Lepisosteus oculatus: one gene and its partner. The protein of the gene in region 1 purifies or fractionates together with the protein of each later gene. This does not show direct contact. Links are inferred from orthologs where the notes say so. Each region holds a gene or a part of one and is shown on either strand. Other genes may lie near its edges.

The links.
Region 2: the proteins of srrt (region 1) and zc3h18 purify together in Homo sapiens (co-immunoprecipitation; 4 studies listed by BioGRID and IntAct, counting the BioPlex papers as one, with this or other methods). This does not show direct contact. The link is inferred for Lepisosteus oculatus from reciprocal best matches to the Homo sapiens genes SRRT and ZC3H18.

Annotation. Positions count from the first base shown.
Region 1 is NC_090698.1:10,692,767-10,700,653, forward strand, and holds the start of srrt (serrate RNA effector molecule homolog), read right to left. Parts: upstream 3,144-7,887; 5' UTR 2,988-3,143; intron 673-2,987; 5' UTR 629-672; coding exon 510-628; intron 1-509. Other genes in the region: uncharacterized protein, read right to left, coding at 4,997-5,037, 5,269-5,344, 7,223-7,402. UniProt on the Homo sapiens protein: Acts as a mediator between the cap-binding complex (CBC) and the primary microRNAs (miRNAs) processing machinery during cell proliferation.
Region 2 is NC_090715.1:14,057,048-14,065,006, forward strand, and holds the start of zc3h18 (zinc finger CCCH domain-containing protein 18), read left to right. Parts: upstream 1-4,677; 5' UTR 4,678-4,736; coding exon 4,737-4,868; intron 4,869-6,226; exon of another isoform or gene 6,227-6,231; coding exon 6,232-6,975; intron 6,976-7,959.

The DNA of each region.
Region 1 (7,887 bases):
TGACCCATCCGACAGAGCAACAGCTTCAAGAAGACGCCTGGGCTGCCTGTTCCAGCCTCCTACTGCCCTTTGTGCAAAGCAGTCTTCTCAATTGTGCTCTCACTTGTTTCTATTCAAGGCAGCCTTGGGATCCGTGAAGAATCGGCAATAGCAAACACTGACACAGAACAAAGGCTGCAGAGGACAGGAGGTTTTTTTAACACACCAAGTCAGGATCACCAACAAAGCACAGCCCAGAGGACACGGGTGAAAACCAAGAAGTGTACTGAGCATTAGTAACAGGAGGCTCTTTACACAAAGTGGTGGGTGCCTGTAACAAGCTGCCCAGGCATATTTGTAGCAGCAGATTCCCTGGGATCAATGACTGGTAAGCAGAGGAAAGTGGAGATGATCTAACTGTTCGATCGATCCACAGTTATCTTCCAGAATCCAGGTGTCTCAGGCTTCCCGGAGACCACGACCTTTGTGGCTGGCAGCGCACCCCTCCCCCCCGCCCCGTGACCCCTGACCTGTCGTTCCAGTCGTCCCGGCGCCGGTCCTCCCTCTCCCGGGACCGGTCGTAGTCACTCCGCTCACGCCGGAACTTGTCGCGCCGCCGGCGGTCGTATTCGTCATCGCTGTCAGCCATCGTCCTGCCCGGCCCGATCTGCACAGCGCACACGGACGACGCGCCTGGGAGACGAAACAGTGGCGGGATGAGGCAAGGGGCAGTCAAGACGTCACCAAGTGCACAACAGCTGCCAAAACACACGAATGCGAACAAAGGGCCTTGCGCGTCGACAGTGGTCGCAGCAGGGCTAGGGGGCGGGGCTCGTGGGGAGACCCCCTGCAGCTGGTGACCAAAAAGATCTATAACAGGTATGAACCAGGCAAGTCATACTTCAATAGCAAAACTCTTAAGGGGACTTAATTTAACAAATCACTTGCTTAACTGGCCACACGCAAATAATAATAACAACAACAACAACAACAACATCACTTTATTAACTCTATGAATCATCACTCATGAATTGGCTACATCAACATCACTCTATGAATTGGCTTCATTACTCTGCTCTCCTCCCCACTGATAGCTGATGTGTGGTGAGCGTTCTGGCGCACTATGGCTGCCGTCGCATCATCCAGGTGGGGCTGCACATTGGTGGTGCTGGAGGGGAGTCCCCATTACCTGTAAAGCGCTTTGAGTGGAGTGTCCAGAAAAGCGCTATATAAGTGTAAGCAATTATTATTATAATTATTATTATTAACCCTTAACAATTTCTTGTATTAGGAATTTGTTTTATTGCATACCCGAGCTTGCTCTCCATGAGACACAGACAGGGAGAGCTTGGGGTCAGAGCGCAGGGTCAGCCATTGTACAGTGCCCCTGGAACAGATGGGGTTAAGGGCCTTGCTCAGGGGCCCAACAGAGAAGGATTCCACTGCCGGCTGTGGGATTTGAACCGGCAACCTTCCAGCCACAGGCACAGATCCTGAGCCACAGAGCCACCGCTCCGCCCCAAGTCACTAGAAACTGGCAATGGTGTACCCACAAACATGCTGGACTGGGGTTCCCCAGAAACAGGGCCGGAGACCCCCCGGTTCAGAATACAGTACAGTCACAGTCTCGGAGCCCAGGCCGCAGGGTAACTCCAGCAGCCCAAAACACTGCTCTCTCAGCGCCATCTTCTGGTCCAAGTCACTCAAATAAAACTACTTGGACTGTTTTCCAGGACACATCAGCAAGCCGCTTGATCGCAGTTTGGGCTCTCTCCCAAACGCGCAGCTCCCGGCTAACTCACAGTGAAGTTTCACATCTCTGCCAAAAACAGAGGAGATCCAGCCAGAACCTGCCCACCCACAGCCTCTCTTAAGGTCATGAGACTCTGGCCTCTTAAAACAACCGTCTCCAGGGGTTTAACTTCCACTCTGTGAGCGCTCTGCGCCCTGTACCTCTTCCCCACGGCCCGCTTCAGCTACGCGAGCCTCTCGGTTTTAAAGTGCACCGTGCTGGCCACAAACAGGTGAAGACCAATCGCTCATAACCCGCACTGAGTAGTCATGCTCGAAACGACTCCCTCTCTCGGAAAGAGAAATTCACAACAGGCAAACGAAACTACCCCAACCCCACCGAGGAAGCGAATTCGGGACTGCGGACAAGCGGCGCTGCTTTACACAAAGAGTGGTGGGGGTCCGGAACAAGCTGTCCCCGCCCTCTTTCAAGAAACAGCAAAGACAGGATGAATGTGTTCCCTCTCCTCCCCCATCTCCCACACCTGTAAACTTCCTGCGGTACCGTCAACTTTCACATAAGAAATATGGCGGTCCTGAAAACTTCAGTGTCCCCCCTGCGAAGCGAATGAGCCCCCCACTAACCTTCCAGTGTTGCACAGAAACCAGAGGAAAAAAAACCCAGGCCGGTACCGGGGGGCAGAGCCCGGTAGGTTCGGCGACCGCGGGCTCTGTCAGTAAACGCCGAAGCCCCACGTCATTCATTCATTCAATCGCACCGCTGCCCCACAAAAGACGGCCGCAGGGATCACTCGCGCCGAGACACTTTCCCGATCAACTTCCTCTTAACCGCGAACAACACTGCGTGCACCGTGAAACACCGTCCGTATCGAGCTGCTTTCGGCGCCCACGAGTACAATGCCGCGGCCTCTTCCGTCTCGCAGCCCGGGCGGCTGCAGCAGGAACACACACGGCCCAGAGGGCTCTCTGCACCCGCTGCGCCTTCTCACGGGAGCCGTTCCCTCCAGGTCATTCAGAAACTGGAAGTGTCCAAGCTGCGTTTCGCCCTCTTTTCCCGGACAAACTGCACAGAAGCCGCCTTCACCCGCGGAATCTTACACTGGTTTCCACCGCCTCCGCTTCCAGAGCCACCGCCGCCTCCGAGCTCATCTACCCCTGCAGAGTCAACATCCCAGACCGCGGCTTCACCGGTAGATCCCAAGGCCTTAACTTACCCCCCAATAAAACAAAACATGACTTATTTTTCGATAACTTACCCGCTCGGCTTAAGTCCCGGGAAAACCTTCGTACCTCCAGAGAAAGGCGATAATTTCTTAATTAATTAAATTCCCACCGCGTCGCAATCCTTCCTCCCACTCCTCCAGCGGGCCTACAGCGCGAGAGAAGACCCGGATGTGGCCTCTAGCGAAGTCTTGGTCCCCTCCCCTTCGCCCGCACCATCAGCCCACAGCGCCCCCTAGCGCCCGGAGGTCTGCATGGCCTTTACGGCTGAAAAAAGGTGCAATATTAAATCACACGCTTAGAAGTCCCGACAAGCCTCAGCACCAGTGTTTGATATGCTTGAAGCTACTACAATTAAAATTGAACAGAAAATGATTTTATACATGTTTCAAGGATAATCAGATGCATTCACAGAATAATGATTCAGCTACAGTGACTCAGGACTTCAATGAAAAAAAAAACGGCATGACAGTCATAAAAAATATTTTCCATTCATGCAAAGGAAAACTTTGCAGAGTGTGTGCTTTGAATCTGGCCAGAATTCTATTTTTCAGCAGCGCACAATTCCCCCCTGAGTCTTTGGGAAACGAGACCTTGCCAGTGTCCCCTAGGCTCTCCAGTCTGTCATCTGTAGACATCAGCCCAGATTCAGGGACAGGTCCCCCAATTGGAAATTGCCCATTTTAAGACCACCAACAAATATTGCAGTCTCTCAGGAGAAAATGAGATACATGGGCCTATTCATTCAGTACAACCCACCCTGTCAGATCACTCACCCTGGGGCTCTGCACAGAGCCTGACGGGAGAGCAAGGGCTGAATAGTCCAGTTTGGCAGTAGGATCAGCTGATTTTTTAAATACAAAAAAACACAGCACAGACGTTTTTTGAGAAAATATTTTAATTTGTATAAAACCATTGCATAGCATCTGTAGAAGAGTAGGCAGTGGTCTAGGTGGAGTGGGTGTAGTAGGAGGGTGGTTTCACAGCAGGGAAGGGACATGGGGATTTCAGGAGGACAGTGGATTTATTTACAGTGATAGAAAAGGCAAATTGAACTGAAGAGCCCCCTCAAAAAAACAGGGAGATAATGAAATATAAAAGTGAGCAGGTGAGTAAGAAAGGAAGTTAAAAATCAAATGAAGGGTGCTCAGGGTCAGCTGCTCTTATAGCACAGCGAAGACTGGGGTGAACATAAGAAACACACTGCCATGGACAGACAGCGGACATCAGGGGGCGCTTCATCACCAGTATACACAAGGGACTCTCGGAGTCAGTTGTCCCGTGTGGGGAGGACTGGGCACTGTGGAGAGACTGGGTCCACACTCAGACAGGGCCATAGGGAGCTGACTGACATGAACAGACAGTGTGGACACTGAACAGTTTCCTACAGTTGTACTGTACACACCGTATCCACTGCCTGCTGGTCACTCGGACCTGAAGCAGCGCCCCCTGGTGGACTCCATCAGTCCCCATGGCCCCACTCTTGACTATACAGCTGGCTCTAGAGCAGGACCTCCCAGTCCAGCGCTGTCTGACACCTGGGTCTAGCAGGTCCGTCTGAGATCTTACTCCAGTCCCAGATGTAACAATGTATTTGCCCTTTGTTTGTTTTTGAATTGTTGTCAGTTCAGGAACAGTGAAAAGAGATTTTTATTTTTCAATAACAGCGAGAATGTGGAGAGTGGGAAGAAATGACAAAGATCTAGTTGATCAGATCAGTAGTGAAGGGATCACATTAAGCTACCAGGAGTAAAGGTGAAAAACACCAGTGGGATATGGGGTACCCAGAAGTGGGATTGAGAAGCCCTACTTGGTAAGATCCAGGATGTGAAATGAGGCTCAGAACAAACAGAATTTGAAACCCCCAGATCGAACCTGAGCCTTGGGGCAGTTTCCTACTCACAGGGGTGCCTTCTGAGAGGGTCAGACTTTAATGGAGGAAGAGGAGGGGAGCAGGACAGTGAGGGATGGGGTGGGCAGGGAGCTTCTGGCAGGTGCTCATTCCCAGAGACAGCTCCTCCTGCAGCGCAGCGCGGCTCGGCTCTCATGCACCCTGACGAATACTCTGGATGATCTGGAAGATGGCTGAGGATAGAACGAGAGGAGGGTCAGAATGAGGAGGGTCAGAGAGCGTCAGAGAGAGAGAGGACAGCAAGTCGGAGAGCATTTAAGAGAAAGGGTGGCAGGTCAGAGAATGAAAGAGAGGATGGTGGGTCAGAGAGAGAGGAGAGCAGGTCAGAGAGCATCAGAGAGCGAGGGGGGGAGGGAGGGCCAGAGGTTTTAGGATGAGAGAGCACGTTGGCATCAGAGACCTACCAGAGCCGCACACGACGAAGACGAACAGCGCCAGAAGCCAAGGGCCCACCGGAGAGTGGTCCTCATTGACTGTGCGCTGGAACACAGGGAGAGGAGAACAGCATGTCACAGCTGGACTGCAGTATCACCTTATACAGCACGTCACAGATGATATCAACTAAAGGGGCCCAGAGAGCCCTAGTCCAGTCAGTACAGGGTCTCCAGCACGGGTCCAGCCAGTACAGGGGACATGGGTCTCTAGTCCCACTCGAGTCAGTACGGGGCTCTCCAGCACTGCGTGCAGCGGTATCAATGTATAGCGGCGAGTTTCTGTGTCAGCATCCGTGTGTATCGATGAGTGGTGTCGGTATCGGTGTGTAGCGGGGAGTGTACCGTGGTTTTCTGGACGTGTCCCCGCTGGGTGATGGTCTTGCTATGCTTCTCGTTAGCGACTTTCATCCGCTGCACCGCCGACATACTGAAGCAATACTCAGCAATACCCGCCAGGAAATAAACACGACGGAATAAATATTTTTTAAAAAAGATTCTGAGTTTAAAACCGAAACCCGGTGACACTGACTAACGATGTTAAGTAATATTTCGTAAAAGCGTACGATTTCAACCACTCCGAACAGCCCCACACCGAACAGCTGCAACTATGCCAACGGAAAAGGAAGGCGAAGCGAAGGCACACGTGACCAGGGTTCGGGCCCCACACCTATCACGTGACGAGGGTCTGTCGCTCGTATTTTTTTAATCACCTATAATACCTCACGTCCTCACGTCCAGGCGACGATTCTAAAGTCTTCTTTCCAAACTCTGTACACGACGTCTTAAGCGACATTTCTTTACGTAAGACTAATTCCTGGACTTGCCAATTTGTCCGTGTGTAAAAAAAAAAGAGATACAACGTTTCCTTATTCCGCGTCCGCCTGTTCCAGACACCCACAACTCTTTGTGTAGAGAGGTGTTTTCTGTTCTCTGTTTTCGTGTTTCCCCTTACTTACCAGTTGCGGCTCGGGTTCTTGTTTCGCTCCTGAGAGTGAAATGATGCCCTGGTTTTACATCGGAAGCCAGACAGCGGAGGTAAAAGATGTTGCCAACGGGCACCATTTGGAAATAAAAACTCAAGTTACCAGTTTTCATAATCAGAGCCAATACTTTATTCATGTAGCTCAGTGCTACTGCGCACGCTGCAATGGACGTCTTGGGAAACGACGCCTTATGCGCTTTATACCTTCTTGTTTCTCTTTTTGGAATACTATGTTTTGGAATATAAAGTGGAAATTAATTTGGACAATTGCTGATAGATACTGTCTTACAAACAAAGTTAAATATAATTTAAGATCGTTCATAGACTTTATTCTGTTAGATTGACACGAACAAGATGACTAATGTGTATTTTGTAATAATGAGAAGGAAATTTTGTTAATTGTTTTGTGAATTGCGTATATACAAATTTGTTTTGGCTAGATTAGCAATATGTTATTGTTAAACTAAATGTTAAATATTGTTAATGTCTAAATGTTACATTTAGAGATTTAGAAATTATTTTATATTTTGTTAGACCTGATTTGGATAAAATATATGTTTTTATTATTAATCTGTGAATCCACAAACGTAAGTGGTCTAATACTGCTCCCTCTATTAATGATTTTAAGGTAGAATTTCTTTTTTGCTTAAATTCTATCAGAAATTTGAAGAATCAAAAAGGCAATACATACAGTGGAAATATGTACAAAGCTTAATTTTCAGCTTTTATAATTGTGAATTCTTATAGCTGTGAAGTGGGTTTATTTCTGTATCGGTTTTAATATTTTTCTTCTGTTGATGAATTTCTGATGTTTAAATAAAAACGTACATCCTCTCGACGCGTCATGACCGGCGGTAACAGCACAGCGCGTCTGAGTCAGGGCGCCCCCTGCCGGCCGGCCGTGGTCAGCGCAGGCCTGCTCTTGCTGAAGCGGGGGCCTACCTCATCTCCGTGCTCCTCCAGCACGGTCACCCGCAGTTCAGCCATCAGCCGCTCGCAGGCCTCCTCGACACCGCCGTCGGCCGGCGGCTCCGGGCCCCCCGGCCTCCGGGCCCGCAGGATCCGCTCGGTGTTGCTGGGAAGCGTCTTCCCGAGAGAGCGCTGCCCTCCCTCGGTCGACATCCGGGCGAAAACCACAACAACATCAATAATAACAGCAAGCGGTATTCTGTCGGTTGGTTAGTCTGCGGAATTCTAGAACGTTTTTCAAAAAATTGAAAAAACTGCCAATCGCTGCTTATGTTATTCCCATACTGCTATATCGATCCATCTTCTAACCCCTTTATTTAATAGGTTAATAACCACTAATCTATACATTATTTTCTCGTCTTATTCGCGTTTTCTATGACTCTGTCTTGTCTGTAACTGAATTTTAATGTCCTAATGTTCAAGGCAGGTTGGGCCCATAAGGCAGTTTTTAATTGGACTTCCTACAACTAAATAACGTGGGGATAAACACACCTTTCTGATGTCATGCGTAGAGATCTGTTCCAGAAACCCCTGAGCCTGTAGTATAAGTGTGATATTGAGTACTGCTCTACCGGGCAGCGGATCGTCATGTGACCCACACGGCTACGTCACACGCACAGCGACGCGTTTCATTCAGC
Region 2 (7,959 bases), on another chromosome or scaffold:
CTTTTTTTAAGGCGGTCTTGGTTTAACCTTGTGCGAGCAGATGTATTCTTACACCGGCTTCACCAACCTTCTTCTTCGCAAGATAACTTCCTGCCTGTTGAATTATGCAACAGTACAATGAAAAATGAAAGCACATTTGTGGATATTGCTATGGACGGCGAACTGATCTGCAATTGCAAGATTTTTCTACTGAGCCTCTTAAGGATACTGATACGCTTGTGACTGAGTCATCAGGAATTGTCACTGGGGCTGCCTTTTCAAATTTCCTGACTGCATACAGAGGGAGAACTTTCATTAGAGCGTTTAAAAATAAAACAGCCCATTTTTCCATTACTTCACATTAATGAAAATCTGCATCCAACAAAAGTCACTTGTGGCTGTTGATCTCCCTATGTGTGAGTCACCTGGTATTAAATGACACTTGTCTTTACTTTTCTTTTTCTCCAGCAAATAATTTAACTTGACACAATGGCAAAGACGCTACCAAAATCACAGGGAGAAGGAAGTGGTCTCTCCCACAAAAGAAGAGATGTCCTGCTAGCGCTGGTGGTGTGGTTTAGAGGCAGCAAAAATGGAATGGAATTGATATTGATGCTTATACTGTATAAGGACAAAGTAAGCACAGAGATGCATGCCACTCATGGTCTTGTAAAAGATCATAAAGATAGTAGAATTGTCTGAACAGACTTCTAATTCTGTTTTGCAAGTATAGATACTTCAATTCATATGTCCCATAATTTCCTATAATACACATAATAGTCATATGCCCCATAATTTTAGTGACTTCTGTTTGCTCTTAAAACATCCTGACTCTCAACAGGGTTTTTAGCAATAATTTCACGTATACCACTAACAAACAGAAATTACTTAATCATTTCGGTATAGCAGAAAGCATTTCAGAAACAAAGAGAAATTATCTGTGGCCGCCAGCTGGAAAATAATGTTCTTTGTTAAATCTTATATCATTTCACATACCCTTAGATGACATAGTTAACTATAGTTTTTATTTTAAAATCATTAATAAACACTGGACTTGAATGAGTTCAGGTTCAACAACAGGAACTAAGTCAAGGGTGGATTGAAAATGAGTGATGGACAGGCCAATAGACAGATTTTTACATTCCTGACTAGACATCTCTTTATAAGTTGCTTGGAAAAGTATTTAAAATGCTTTTTTTTCTGGAGCAAGTGCCTCATATACAAAGCAGAAGCAGTGAATAAAAAGCATACAGTATCTAGAGGATGTACAGTTCTTCATACACTTTCTTCCAGACCAGATATTTGGTCCAACTAGCACCTGATCACATACTGACAAATCAATTGTGCGTTACAAAGCCTGTAAGGCATGCACTCAGTGTGCATATTTAAAATTCAAAGAGGATTTATGAGAGACGTACAAAGTACAGCAGTATGGATTTTAAAATAAGTGACCGGGTTTGGCTGAATATAAAAATGGGGGAGAGTGGTTGTGGGGGTGCATCACAGATTTAGAATTTCTTGCAATAACATAAAATCAAACATACAGTCATTAAAGTATAAACTGTTCCATGAATATAGAAAAGTTAGATGAAACAGGCTAATATCAAAGGTCTTCACAAATTTATCACCATGCTACTTTTGCACGTCTTCAAAGAAAAAATGCCATGAAACCATAAGACTGTACCCATTTTTACATGGAATTCCTGGAAGGTTGATCTAAAATAATTCTGTTCTGTGTTTGGTTCTGATTTTATAGCATTAGGAGCTTGCATTTCCAAGTTGAAATTAGAGATTAAAGTGACGTTTCTTCTGCAAACTCATCATGGGTTTTGTAATGTGTATTTCAGCAAACTCTGGAATTGAAAAGCATAGGCAAAATATTTTGCTAATGTTACAGTAAATCTAATGTAGGCAAGTATTACCTACTTTACTTTAGTAACTGATGTAAAGTAAAAGAAATGATGTTACTATATTTACTAAAGTAGAGTACTCGTTTGTTATGAGACTCTTGTGTGGCCAGTCGAAATGGTGTTGTTAAATATACTCATATTTAGCTCATATATTGTGCTTAAAACTGAGATCTAACCTGTTGTTCAGTGAGCCTCATGGCAGTTAATGAACTATGCAGCCTGTCAATAAAACTGTTGACAGACAAACACCAAACAGGACTGAGTTTGTCAGTACTGTACATATATAGTAAAAATACTAAAATGAAGCTTTATGAATTCTTACTACACCTTCTCTGTATAAATGTAAAGATATTTAAAATACAAAAGCAAATTACATTGGTAAGTTTACAAATTGGTTTTTATTTTTTTTCAGTCTTGCTGAAATATGGTATATTTTTAAAATGAAACTAATACCTGTAATAACAAGGCGTGTAAAAAAAAAACTTCAACCCATAAATCAAACTACTTTTACATTTAATTAAACATTTTGCATTTACGGTTAACATTAAAACTTTGGAACTTTAGAATAAAAAAGGCAAAACATGTGAACAGCCACACATATTCTAGTTTTAATAATTTAAATAATCAGTTCTCACATACAGGTTGCAAAGCTTTAAGAATTCTTACCTCAGATGCATACCTTTTGGTGATGTTTCAGTGACCTGTTATTTGTAGAGGCAGAATGACTTAAAACACTTAATTCCTCAGGTTACTTATTATCCACAAGAGAATGACATTAGCATGTGACTTTCTGTGCTCTCCAGCATTGCCCACAGTATTGGGTTGAGCTGTGTCCTTCTTGCTTGAGTGCAGTTCTTATCCCTAACCTTTCTCTTCCCTGTCTGAATGTGTCTGTCTCTCCGGCTTCAGCTGAGGAGCTCTCCACTGTCAGTTATAGAGGAGTTCTCAATCAGCTGATCCCTTTCCTCCTGTAAGTCATCCTATAGCTGTGCACCAGGGTCCCCTGCCTGTACATAGCATGAATCTATGGAAATCAAAGCCTTAGCTCTTCAGTATCCATTATGAACAGCAAAGACAAAAGCCTTATTTTTAATTGTCATTCCTACCAGCATGAAGGAATCTAATCTGATAATCTAGTCTGATTTTTAAAGAATTGCTGTCCTGCCTCAGTACACTATTTATGGCAATTCTGAAGTAAGATCTTTATCCTGCCTTGTATAATTGAAGGAGTTTAATTGGTTGCCCCTCTAGATTTAAAAAAAAAACAATGACAATCAGCACAAGAAATTACACCTATCCTGTTTCTTCGTTTTATCCTTTCAGAAAAACAGATTTTAATGTTTTTCACCATGTAAATAGATAATTCTACATATTCAATTCTGGTACCAAAAAAACATGCCTTTTCATTTCCATCTGTGTTTAACACAGCATGTTGGATATTAGTGGCATGTAATCTCAGTGACCATTGTATTAATTAGACCTACTGTATGAACAGAAAACAAGCATGTCAGCTATAATGTACAAAGTTCTTATGATACCAAGTGAGGAACCTCCGTGCTTAATCTTGCATGCGTTAGACCACTTTTTAAAAACATCCCACTGTGTTGGGTTTTTAACTTGCTGATATCAGTTTATGTTCTTTTACTGACAGAATCTCAACAAACTCAGAAGATAAAATAGGATCTATTTTTATTTTTCTCATGAGTTCACCTAAAGAAAGTTATCAGAGTAGAGGTTATGAATTCCCAATTTGAAGGTTAAGAGGTCAGCTGTTAGCGCACTGCTGTTGTATAAGCTTAGGCTCTCAGGCCTAGTTCAGTCTGAAATGGCCCACTGAATAAATTAGTACAAATATAAGTCACGTTGGACGAAAGTGTCAAATTGTGTTTTAAGTTTCTAGTTAAAAGTTTAATTAAATCTCAAATCAAATACATATTTCAAGTTCTTGGGTGAAAAAATACATTTGAAGAATTGTTATCGTTGTTAAAAAATGTTGTAAAATGTCCAAAAAAAAAAGGGTTTCGACAAGAAACATACTGTATACCGAATACTTCAAGTGTCGTTCACCTGGGATACCTCAAATTCCGCCCGTTTTCAGCGGGACTGCACGGAAATTTGTAAATGAGGTTTGATCTCCATCTAGTGGTAGATGTTGGTATCACATAATCTCCAAACTCCTGCAGTCGATAGTATGGGCGGTTGAATTGAAGGCACATAGAAATGGGATGCATTTTCCGGTGGAAAGTCAAAGAGCCTGTCCAACTCTGAAACAGATATGCCGCCTTCAGAGTGACACCAGCTGCTTTTTGATATTTCAAAAATTGGAAGCAAAGGTTAGTTTTAAAAGTTAGTCGTGGAAAGATCTGAGACAGCTCTGTAATAGAAGATAACGTCTCTTTCTGAGCAGAAAGTCGAGTGCACATAGTGAAACGTTTGAAAACTTCCAATCCAAAAGGCCAATGAGGTTGTACAAAAGCAACATCTGTGGTTAGACGTTAAAAGGTCATTTTCACGACACTCACGTTCTAAGCAATGTAGCTATTTTACACATTTTGTTTGAAAATTAACATCACCGACGCTTCTCCTGTTAGTTTATTATGTGAACAAGTTATTTTGATTATGATTGCTGGCTGCCCTAATTTTGGCGATAACGTTAGTTAAGAATAAAAACTAAACAAAAGCCATTGTAATACTGGCAATCATATAAAGCATATCCAGATTTGATCTTCGGCGAATAACAAAGTACCGCCTGGCACCCTTAACGTCCTAGTCCTCTGCGCCGTCTGACGCCGTCTTGCCTTGATGACGTAACGGCAATGGCCGCTCTCACTGTGTAGAGCAGGGTTTATGAATCTCTCCGATAGAAGAAAAAGCAATCCGAATATTTATTACTGTGTACAGCTTTACACTTGGACGGGGAGAGACGGGGTAGTAGTTACGATCACACTCCTGTCTCAAAAGACGTACAGGTTGGCAACGGTAACAGTCAGATATCTGCTATTTTTTTGTGATTATTTTTTTGAAGGGGGGAGGTCTGTATTGTTGATGAACAGGGAAGCATGGCTGCTTAGCAGATTAGGAAGGGGGCTAAAACCAAGAAGGTATTTTAAGGGGGGAAAGTAGTTGTTGTCCCGGAAAGGTAAGTTAAATCTGTTTTATAGGGATTTTAGGCGCTCTCATGATGCATCTGCAGAGACGGTGTTCTGCCTGGTTCACTGAAGGCAGTCGTGGGGCCTGCTGTCTTCCAAGCCGCTATATTCTTCATTGATTCACTAATTTATTTGGTGGCATAATAGCCCAGCGAGTGAAGTTGTAGGCAGGGGGGTAAATTCATAGGAGTGCGATTTGATGGTTTTAAACGAGACAATGATACCTGATCCTGCACTGTATAGAAAGACAATTTAAGGAAAACGAAACCCTTGCTATCAGGTTATAGACTAGAGTATTTATCACCTAAACCTATTTATGCAGGCCAATTTGTTTTAGTTCTTTATCGAGGTGTTTTGTTTGGATTTATGTGCAAATTCTAAATTGTACATAAAATTGTACTTTTCGTTTTAGTCCTACTCAACGGACGATCGTATTTTTTACACAGGTCACGTAGTTTTCGCTTGCTAGATTACTTGTAGATCGTGGCTAGACACTAGAATGTCTCGTTCTTGTACTAATAAAATGAGCTATTAGCATTATTCTGCAAATCTCAACAAATGGGAATGCAGTAGGGTAGCAATTTTTTAGACAACATCCTATTCTCTTTTTATATGTGCGTTTTTTTAAGTTTTTCACAGTAATCTAAATGAAAAAATAATAGATTAACAATTTAGAAACTAAACAGCTATTCTCTATTGGTCATATATATATATAATAATTTACTTTTAAGCTTTGTTGTTAAGCTCACTTTCCTCAATGGGCAGGGCTACAGAGGAAGACATAATGTGATAAATAATAAGAAAAGTTGACACCTTCCTGAAAGTGTTTTTGAATCCCAAGTAAAGACTATTAAAAGAGCAAATAAATTCACTTCATTCTTTAAAAGAAATTAACCAACTCCCACCTCTTACCAGGCTCTATACTACTTGAGTCTGATCCTGGAGTAGTAAAATTAGATGCTGCATTAAATAGTATACTAGTGACAAATGTCAAAAATTTGGTAACCGGATTTAATTTTCTGATATATCTGACAGGGGGCTAGAAAGTATATCTGATCTGTGGAGAACTAATCCTCAGTCAAAGGCTAGGCTTTAAAATCAGTGTTCAAATTAATTTGCTTTCCTTCTGATCTGTGTGTTTACAGTGTGACTTATAGGGTCTTTATTCTGCTCGTGTCTTCTCTGTAGAGCAGCCTCCAATGGATGCAACTGAAAGCCCCAGTCATGACAGACAGTCCCTGGAAGAGAAAGAGACCTCGGACAGCGAGATGCTGAAAGAGGACAGTCAGGAGGGTGGGGCGGAGTCGGACCTGGAGGATCTAGAGGACGAGGGTGGGGAGAGAGTGTCGGACCAGGAGGAGGAGGAGGAGGATGGGTATGGAGGGGAGCTGTGCCACGAGGTCCCGTCAGGTGCAGCATTGACGAGGGGGCGAGGGGTGAATTGCTCGGACGATGAAGAGGAGGAGGATCGAGTCAGCCAAGAGGCGAAGTCCCCCGACTCGGAGCCTGATCTGGGCCGGGAGAAGCTTTTGTCTTCCCCGCTAGCGGAGGAGGAAGAGGAGGAGGACGACGAGGGGGTGAAGGCAGCAGCTGCGGACAGCCGGGTAAGCGACCTCAAGGACGAGTCCTCGTCAGTGACGCGGGAGCTGGACGAGCACGAGCTGGACTACGACGAGGAAGTGCCCGACGAGCCGAGCGGCGCCGCCCCCGAGGATGAGGACGGGGACAGGGTGCCTGGGGAAGAAGGAGAGGAGGAAGAGGCAGACCCTGAGGATGAGGAAAAGAAGGAAAAGAGGAAGGACTCCCAGCAGCCAGAAAAGGTCACTGAGCCCAAAAGGGCAGAGGAGCCCAAGGCTCCTGAGAGGGGTCGGAGAGATTCCTTACGAGATAAAAAGAAAGATGACGACGATGGAGAGATCGATGAGGGAGAAATAGATGTAAGTGGAGAATCTCTTTTGTTTTAAGATCATCTTTTGTTCTGAACGTTGACAGCTCAGTGTTCTAAAGAGCAGGTGTTCATTTTATTTCCTAAATGCATTATTTTTCACCAAGTTTTGCTTTAAACGTGAACCTTCGGAGCAGATGAAGCTTCTGTACCCAAACTACTCTTTACCATGCTCAAGTAAAGAGCTTGTTTTCACACTGCAGATCTGGAGCAGCAACATGTCAGCCAGACTGCACTCTCCGGTCATTTTTATCCCTCGGCGTTTCTGTGTGGTGTTCCAGGGACCCCCAGATGATGTTCCCCAAAGCGAACTGGAGTCTTCCAGTGTTCTCCTTCATTGAATCAGTTCACTTAGAATGAAATTAAAATTTATATTTCCTGTAGAACAGGGGTTGACAAGGAGTGTTTTAATGCAGTTATTTTTAAGGGTCACCCTAAATCACCTGTTATTTCAAGATTAGGCACAATTAAGCAATTGGTCAATGAAGCAAGTCATCGATGAATTCAACAGTGGTAGATGAGGGCAGGTGGATATTCTTTTCCAAATGATCTCTAAATTGCTTAATTGAGTACACCACCTATTTAAAATAATTAAGATGTTCCTGCCCTTCAGAAATGTATGGTTAAAGTCTGTTGGACTGTTGATTACCCCTGGTACAGAGTGATAACGTTTGCATTTATTTCCCATTTTCTTAATATGGTATTGAAGTGTTGGGTTGTTTCTTAGGTCTCAACCCCAGTTTTGTATAAGGATCCCTTTGTGTCTAAGGGTAGAATGCCCTAGACAGTGTGTATTTTATACGAACTCTTAACCCCTTGGAACCAGATTCTGTGTAGCATGGGAATATTTCATCTCAAGCCAGTGACACTCACAGTTTTTGGCAGCTCCAGTTGATTTGCACAGTGATGATTAGAACCTGTGATCTCCAGGCAGTTGAGTTTATATTCTGCTCATTAGGTATGTGAGTATGAGCAG